Macaca fascicularis: one gene and its partner. The protein of the gene in region 1 purifies or fractionates together with the protein of each later gene. This does not show direct contact. Links are inferred from orthologs where the notes say so. Each region holds a gene or a part of one and is shown in the gene's direction. Other genes may lie near its edges. The genes, in order: SDHAF1 and SDHB.

What was found.
Region 2: the proteins of SDHAF1 (region 1) and SDHB purify together in Homo sapiens (co-immunoprecipitation; 3 studies listed by BioGRID and IntAct, with this or other methods). This does not show direct contact. The link is inferred for Macaca fascicularis from reciprocal best matches to the Homo sapiens genes SDHAF1 and SDHB.

The regions. Positions count from the first base shown.
Region 1 is NC_088393.1:43,235,798-43,239,083, forward strand, and holds SDHAF1 (succinate dehydrogenase assembly factor 1, mitochondrial), read left to right. Parts: upstream 1-1,451; 5' UTR 1,452-1,538; coding exon 1,539-1,886; 3' UTR 1,887-2,563; downstream 2,564-3,286.
Region 2 is NC_088375.1:218,109,064-218,112,876, forward strand, and holds part of SDHB (succinate dehydrogenase [ubiquinone] iron-sulfur subunit, mitochondrial), read left to right. Parts: intron 1-1,108; coding exon 1,109-1,210; intron 1,211-2,451; coding exon 2,452-2,574; intron 2,575-3,813. UniProt on the Homo sapiens protein: Iron-sulfur protein (IP) subunit of the succinate dehydrogenase complex (mitochondrial respiratory chain complex II), responsible for transferring electrons from succinate to ubiquinone (coenzyme Q).

The DNA.
Region 1 (3,286 bases):
GATCTCCTGACCTAGTGATCCGCCCGTCTCGGCCTCCCAAAGTGCTGGGATTACAGGCTTGAGCCACCGCGCCCGGCCTCTAGGACATGTATTTTTGATAGACATACATACACCCGACAGGCAGGATTCACAGTGGTTTCTGATTCTCCCTTGACTCCGAAACTCCAAGCCTAATCTCCGCCCCTGACCAGCTTCTCCTCTCTGAAGAGGAACGGACCCCCAGCTGGCTGCCGGCCCAAGTGTGTGAGCCGCAGTTGCACGCTGGGTGGAGGGGTCTGGGGTTGTCACCGAGCGGTCCCCCAAGCTCCGGTGCTGGTGGGGCCTGAGGATGCTGTGTCCTTGCGGGCCTCCCTGGCGCTACCAGGACGCCTCCAAGCGGCCCGCGGGGACAACAACGGCATTGCGGCCTACGACCTGAAGCTCCTGGGAGGACAACGGGCTGCCAGTCTAGTCCACTGTTCAGGGCGTCCCAGACTCCCGGCTTTAACAGTCCGTGAGGACCCAAACACCGCTGCCCAGTGCCCCGACTCCCACCTGCAGAGGGCGCGACCAACCCAGCTCCTAGAGCCACACGCTGCCTCTGGGGGCTTGGCGCCCACACCCCCTCTGCTTGTCTTCCCCTAGCACGGAGAAGCCTGTCCAACCGGCCGAGAGCCATTTCCCTACGGGGCCTCGTCCCTCTGCACGTGCCTAGGGCTGGGACCCCAGACACAGACCTGCCCCGGACGAGGGAACGCACGGAGATTCCCGAGATGGTTTCAATCAGTAACTGACGGCAAGAGCACGCTTGTGCCCAGTGTCTCTCCCAGTGCTCCACGCCGTTGGGACCCAAAGTCCGAACCCGTAGCAGGCCGCAGTGGCTCACGCCTGGAATCCCAACACTTTGGGAGGCTGAGAATCGTTTGAGCCCAGGAGTTCGAGGCCATCCTGGGCAACATAGCGAGACCCCATCTCTGCAAATAATAATAATAATAAAATAGGGGGCGCGGTTGCGCGCACCTGTGGTTCCAGCTACTCGGGAAGTTGAGGTGGGAGGATCGCTTGGGCCCAGGAGTTCGAGGCTGCAGTGAGCCAAGATCGTGCCACTGCACTCCAGCCTGGGCGACAGAGTGAGACCCCGTCACAAAAAAAACAAACAAAAAAACAAACCCTAGCTTCCTCTTCTCCCAGAACGCAGGAGTTAGGTCAGGACTCTCTGTTCCCTCCGACCCAAGACCTAGGAGTCCGAACACATAGCGACCTCCTCCTACGACACGCAGGTGCCAGGATCCCCAGAACTGCTGTCCCTTCAAGAACACGTGTTCCCTACAGGGGAGGCCGCGACCAGAGACTCCGCCCACTTCTCCCAGCCCGCTGTGGTGCAACAGCAACGACAGCCAATCAGACGCGGCAGCGCCGGATGGCGGGAGGCGGGAGTTGGGGGCCAAGGGAAGCGCAGGGCGGAAGTGGCTGTGGCTTTGCCCTTTGGCCTTGGCTCGCTGTGTGGCGGCTCGGCGGTTAGCAGGGAGTTCGCTGAGCGTCTCTGCCTAGCCGCGGTCATGAGCCGGCACAGCCGGCTGCAGAGGCAGGTTCTGAGCCTGTACCGCGATCTGCTGCGTGCCGGACGCGGGAAACCGGGCGCCGAGGCGCGAGTGCGGGCCGAGTTCCGGCAGCACGCGGGCCTGCCGCGCTCCGACGTGCTGCGCATAGAGTACCTGTACCGCCGCGGGCGGCGCCAGCTGCAGCTGCTACGCTCGGGCCACGCCACCGCCATGGGCGCCTTCGTACGCCCGCGGGCCCCGACCGAGGAGCCTGGCGGCGTGGGTTCCCAGCCTGACGACGGCGACGGTCCAAGGAACCCCCACGACAGCACGGGGGCACCGGAGACCCGGCCCGACGGACGGTGACTGGCGAAGAGCCGAACTCGCTCGATGGCGTGGTGGAGCCAGGAGGCTCGCCTGACTGCGTGGGGGGCCTGGGGAACCCGCCTAAGGTGAGAGATCTCGAGAGACTAGCTCGACGAATTGGGGATGTCAGAGACTGCCCCTTGGCGACGCAGGGGGCCTAGAGAGCCTCATGATGGACGGCAAGAGAGGCCCACCTTTTCCGGTGCTTGGAGACAGGTCGGCGCTCCTCCCGTATGAGGGCTTGGGGCGGCCTGGGACGCCGGCGGGCTGGACAGTGTCAAGCCGAGAGCTACTTGCCCGAAGGTACGGGGAGCCAGGACGCCCCCTGCTGGACAGGGAGAGCCTGAGACACCCTTCTCTTGACCCCTGAGAACACACCCACCTCTGGCTCCTCGAGTCTCCCCTCTCCTATATTTAACTCTGAGAAGTGCAGACTTTTTGCTGAGAAAGTATTGGGAAGGTTCCCTGATCAAGCGGTGAGAAGCCCGGAATCCCCTTTGGGAAAACTTTCCCCCATTAATTGTGACAAGCCAGGACCACGAGGAAGGGGCTAGCGGTCTGTCACCCTGGTTGATCAACTAAAGGGCCCTACTTGATGGTTTTGAGGGGCAACGTTGACTCATTTGCCCCTTCCCTCTCAGAATGTTGGACAAAGGGAATAAAATTGGGGATATGTCTACTTTCCTGTTGGTGGTCTTAAAGCTTTTATATATTTGAGGATTTTTGAAACACCCCCCCCCCCCCCACCACCACCACCGCACACACACACAGACACCTGGAAGGGACCATCTGGGAGGTAATAGGTGTGGGAATCTGACTCCCTCCGGAGTCCTCTAGACTGGCACATTGATTGAAGCAGCATAGTTCTCTCCCCTGGGCAGATTTGTGGAGGGGGTTCATCCTGGCTTAACCCCCAAAGATACCCCAGTTGGCTCCCTAATGGAGGGCAAGTTGTTTAACATCTTTGTGTGGGACAGGAAATGGTGGAGCTGAGAACTGGCTCAAAGCCTCTGAGGCAGTAGTGGGGGTCTCAGACCTGGAAATTTCTCAAACACAGCTGAAGGGTCCAGCCTCAGCTACAATGAACGACAAGGCCTGGGGCAGGGGAGGGGAGATGAACCCCATAGATCACAGGTATACTCCCTCCTGTGTCCCCATATGGGCCTGCCCTAGACATTCTGTGGAGGGATGCAGTTTGCATCACTGAGCTGTATTTGCACCCATGTCAGTTAAGTAAGTGGAAATGAGTTCTTGTGGATGTAGCTGTGGGGAGGAGGACCACAGGTAAGGAGCATAGACCTCAGACCAAAGGGAGGATGGATGGAAGAGAAACAGTCGCTGTCCTAATCCTAGTGGGGGAGCCACATGCCCAAATGGTTATAAAGTAGAATTGGAATTTG
Region 2 (3,813 bases), on another chromosome or scaffold:
AAAACCATTTCACTATTGCTGGACAATGAAATTGTTTCCAGTTTTTTACTGTTAGAAATAAGGCTAGATGAACATCTTTATCCTTCAAGTTCTGCCCCAAAACATTCTAATTTCTTTTTACAGATTTTTCTAGGAGTGGGTTAAAGAATATGACTATTCTAAAGACCCCTAATCCTATGACCTTATGCCTTCTAGCCCAATGGGGCCAGTTGACACTCCCACCAGCCGTCTGAACAGCTGAACCAAATAGATTTGGTTGAAGACTCATGGTTCAGTCACAACCATCGGTTCTGTCTCATCTGTTCTCAACTGTCACCTCAGGTGTCAGTGGGCCCCTTTCGTTTTGCTGCTTTTAATCCATTTCTGTTGTTTCCAAACTCAGAAAGCCCGGTTTGTGTTTCGGACTTGTTGGGCAGATTGAGCCAGTGTGACAGGTGTGAAAGTGCAGGAAGCCAGAGCCAGCTGCCGGGGCCACATCCTGATTCTGCTGCCTACAGTGGCACGTCCCTGGGCACATGGCCTAACTCACTCTCTGTGCCTTGGTCTTTACCTGTAAGTGGAACTTGCTGGACTCACCTCACAGGATTACTGTGATGATCAGTTGAGGAAAGTGTGTAAGGCTCAGGGCTCTCCGTCAGGATTGGCAGTGGCAGTCACTGGGGATGATGTTGAGGTTTCCAGTGAAAACCTGAGGGCCCTTCTGCTGAGCCCAGGGCAGAAGCAGCTATAGACTTCTGCTGTTTCAGCCCCCGGGCTTTTGAATCTCTCCCCTCTTGACCGCATTCCAGGAAGTTGGAATTGATGGGAGTTGTTTTTGTGTTCTTGTTTTCTATTTCTTTTTTAGACAAGTGAGAGGTTCTTGTTTATTGAAGGGAAAGTGCACTATACGTGGACTTAAGAACCCTGGGCAGATGTTTACATTTCACTTGCAAGATCTTTATTAATCTGCTAAATATCTGCAAATCACACCTTGGATTTTGCCAAGAAAATTCACATGCAAGCAGGCATTTTATTCATGCACTGACCCCAAAGGTCACATTTAATCAGCTGAAGACATAGCAGAGTCTTTCCCCTCACAAGCTCCTGCCTCTTCTTTCTCCCCATATAGGACGGGCTCTACGAGTGCATTCTCTGTGCCTGCTGTAGCACCAGCTGCCCCAGCTACTGGTGGAACGGAGACAAATATCTGGGGCCTGCAGTTCTTATGCAGGTGAGGTTCCCCTTAATTGCTTTAAGAGAAATTGATACTGAAGCATCCAGAAGTCCAAGAGGACAATAGACAGCTGTAAGCCGGCCATTCTGAGGGGCCTGGTTTCCTTCATTGCCATCCAGTCCAAACAGGCTAATTGGTTGTATTGCATTCACTTGCTTTCGGTAAATCTGGGGCCTTGTCTGCAAATTGCCTTTGTTTCAGTGTGGTAAGAGTCACCCCAAGGGGTGGCAAACCATGCCTTGCAGATGTTTAAAACGTATTTCCGTATGCCTGGTGGTCAGAGGCTCCCCGTCCCCCTCTCATAGGATTTGTAACATAAGATTTGTAGTGTGCAAGCAGGGGAGAAAGCAATGTCTTTGAAGGGCAGCTGCCCAGCTATGAGATTAGAAGCTGTTTCCCAGCTAATGAAAGCCTGGATTTAGGGGTTGCCTAGAAAGAAAATAGTATTGGTGTTCACTGCAAAGAAAGTCACTGTCTTTGTTCCCAGAAAGCTTGTGCTTTTTTAGATGTGTGCTTTTCATAGTGTAAGCAACTCAAAAACCAACTTCTCTTTCTCATTTTCCCACAGAAAGAGAAGTTACAGGTTTGTGTGACCACATGAGCAGTATTGATTCCCAGCCATGTAAAGATTGAATAATGAAGTACGCTTACACTTGTCACTTTACCAGCTGCTCCGAGTTGTTGGGGATGTAGAGGTCCTCTAAGTAACACTGCTAGAGCAGGTCCATGGTCATGTGATTAATTCGTTTCAGCTTCTGATTCAGGCTGCTGAGAGGGCTGTGCGAATTCAAAGAATCGTTAAGTGGGACAAATACTATCTGTAGACAGGTCTGTTAAATCATTCCTTTACTCAGAGACAGCGAGTCCAGCATGGGTAGGTGCCATAAAGACAGATAAGAGGGTTATATGATACAGTCCCTGCCTTCACCAAATTATGAGCTGGGTAGGAAGCTATTAAGCAACATGAAATAATTAGGAGATGATGCCCAGTGTGTATAATGAAGCACCCGGGTACCAGGTGCAGTATGGATCAAAGGTTTGCAGGGACCATTAATCAAGTGGAGCTACACGTGTTGGGAACCTTTCTTTGAAAGATGGACAAGAATTAGAGTGTGGAGATGAGGCATCTAACCTGAGTGAATTGCCTTTCCTGTGCACTCTCAGAGCTTTGAGTTGAGCCAGGGTACCGCTTTGGCCTGTTGATTGGCAGCTCAGCTAATCAGTCCCTGGTTTTCCAGGCCTATCGCTGGATGATTGACTCCAGAGACGACTTCACAGAGGAGCGCCTGGCCAAGCTGCAGGACCCGTTCTCTCTATACCGCTGCCACACCATCATGAACTGCACAAGGACCTGTCCTAAGGTACGTGGGGCTGGTGACCCTCAGCTCTGCCTCAGAGCTGACATGCCAGAGGTAGCATGTGCTCACAAAGAGGCGATTGGTGGAGAGCAACCCTAGTCACTTGAGATGAAAAGGGAGCAGCATGTGCCTGTCCCTTCAGTGTGAACCTAGGGGCTAGTTTGGCTCTTAGTTGCAAGAAGTAGACTGACTCGGGCCAGCTCAGGAGCAGGCTTTATTTGTGGGCTACACAGGGACATTGTGGAGTTAAGGATACACGGGAACCCATGAGCAGGTACCTGCGTTCAGCCTGACTTCATAGGAAACAGAAAGCGAAAGCCATCAGAATGCGGGCAGCTGTGAGGACCACATTTCTTCTCCATCTCTTTCTTGTGATGTTGGCTGCGAATCTGCCGGCTCTCCAGCCGCCTGTTCTTTCCCTCCGCTCTGTGGAGGTTTTCTCTGACTCAAAGCTCTGACTTTCGTTCCTTTTCCTGCTTGCATTTGCTGCTGCTTTTGGCTCACTCTGGCCTGGATTCTGCCTCCCAGCACACTTCCAGCTTCAGCCACCCGCCATCTGCTCCCAGCACTTCTCAGCACAGGTTCCCAAGAGGGTGTCACATTGGCCCAGCTCAGCTTCTCATGCCTGCACATCAGAGGCCACAGCTGGCTACAGACTGGCTGCCCTTTGGCCAGGTTCTGTCTCAGTCTGTTTTGTGGTGCTATCACAGAATTTCACAGACTCGGTAATTTACAAAGAAGTTTATTTGACACACAGTTCTAGAGGCTGGTACCAGCGTCTGACAAGAACCTTCATGCTGTATTACCCCATGGCAAAAGGCAGAAGGGCAAGAGAAAGGGAGCCCAAGCTTATCCTTTTTTTAGAGGTGGAGTTTCACTCTTGTTGCCCAGGCTGGAGTGCAATGGCACAATCTCGGCTCACCGCAACCTCCGTCTCCCAGGTTCAAGCAATTCTCCTGCCTTAGCCTCCCGAGTAGCTGGGATTACAGGCATGCCCCACTCATGCCCGGCTAATTTTGTATTTTTAGTAGAGATGAGGTTTCTCTATGTTGGTCAGGCTGATCTCAAACTCCCGACCTCAGGTGATCTGCCCACCTTGGCCTCCCAAAGTGCTGGGATTACAGGCGTGAGCCACCATGCCCGGCCCTTCTCACCCCTTTTTTTTTTTTTTTTTTTAAAGACAGGGTCTCTGTTGCCCAGGCTGGGGTGCAGTGGCGCAATCATAGCTCACTTCTGCCTGGA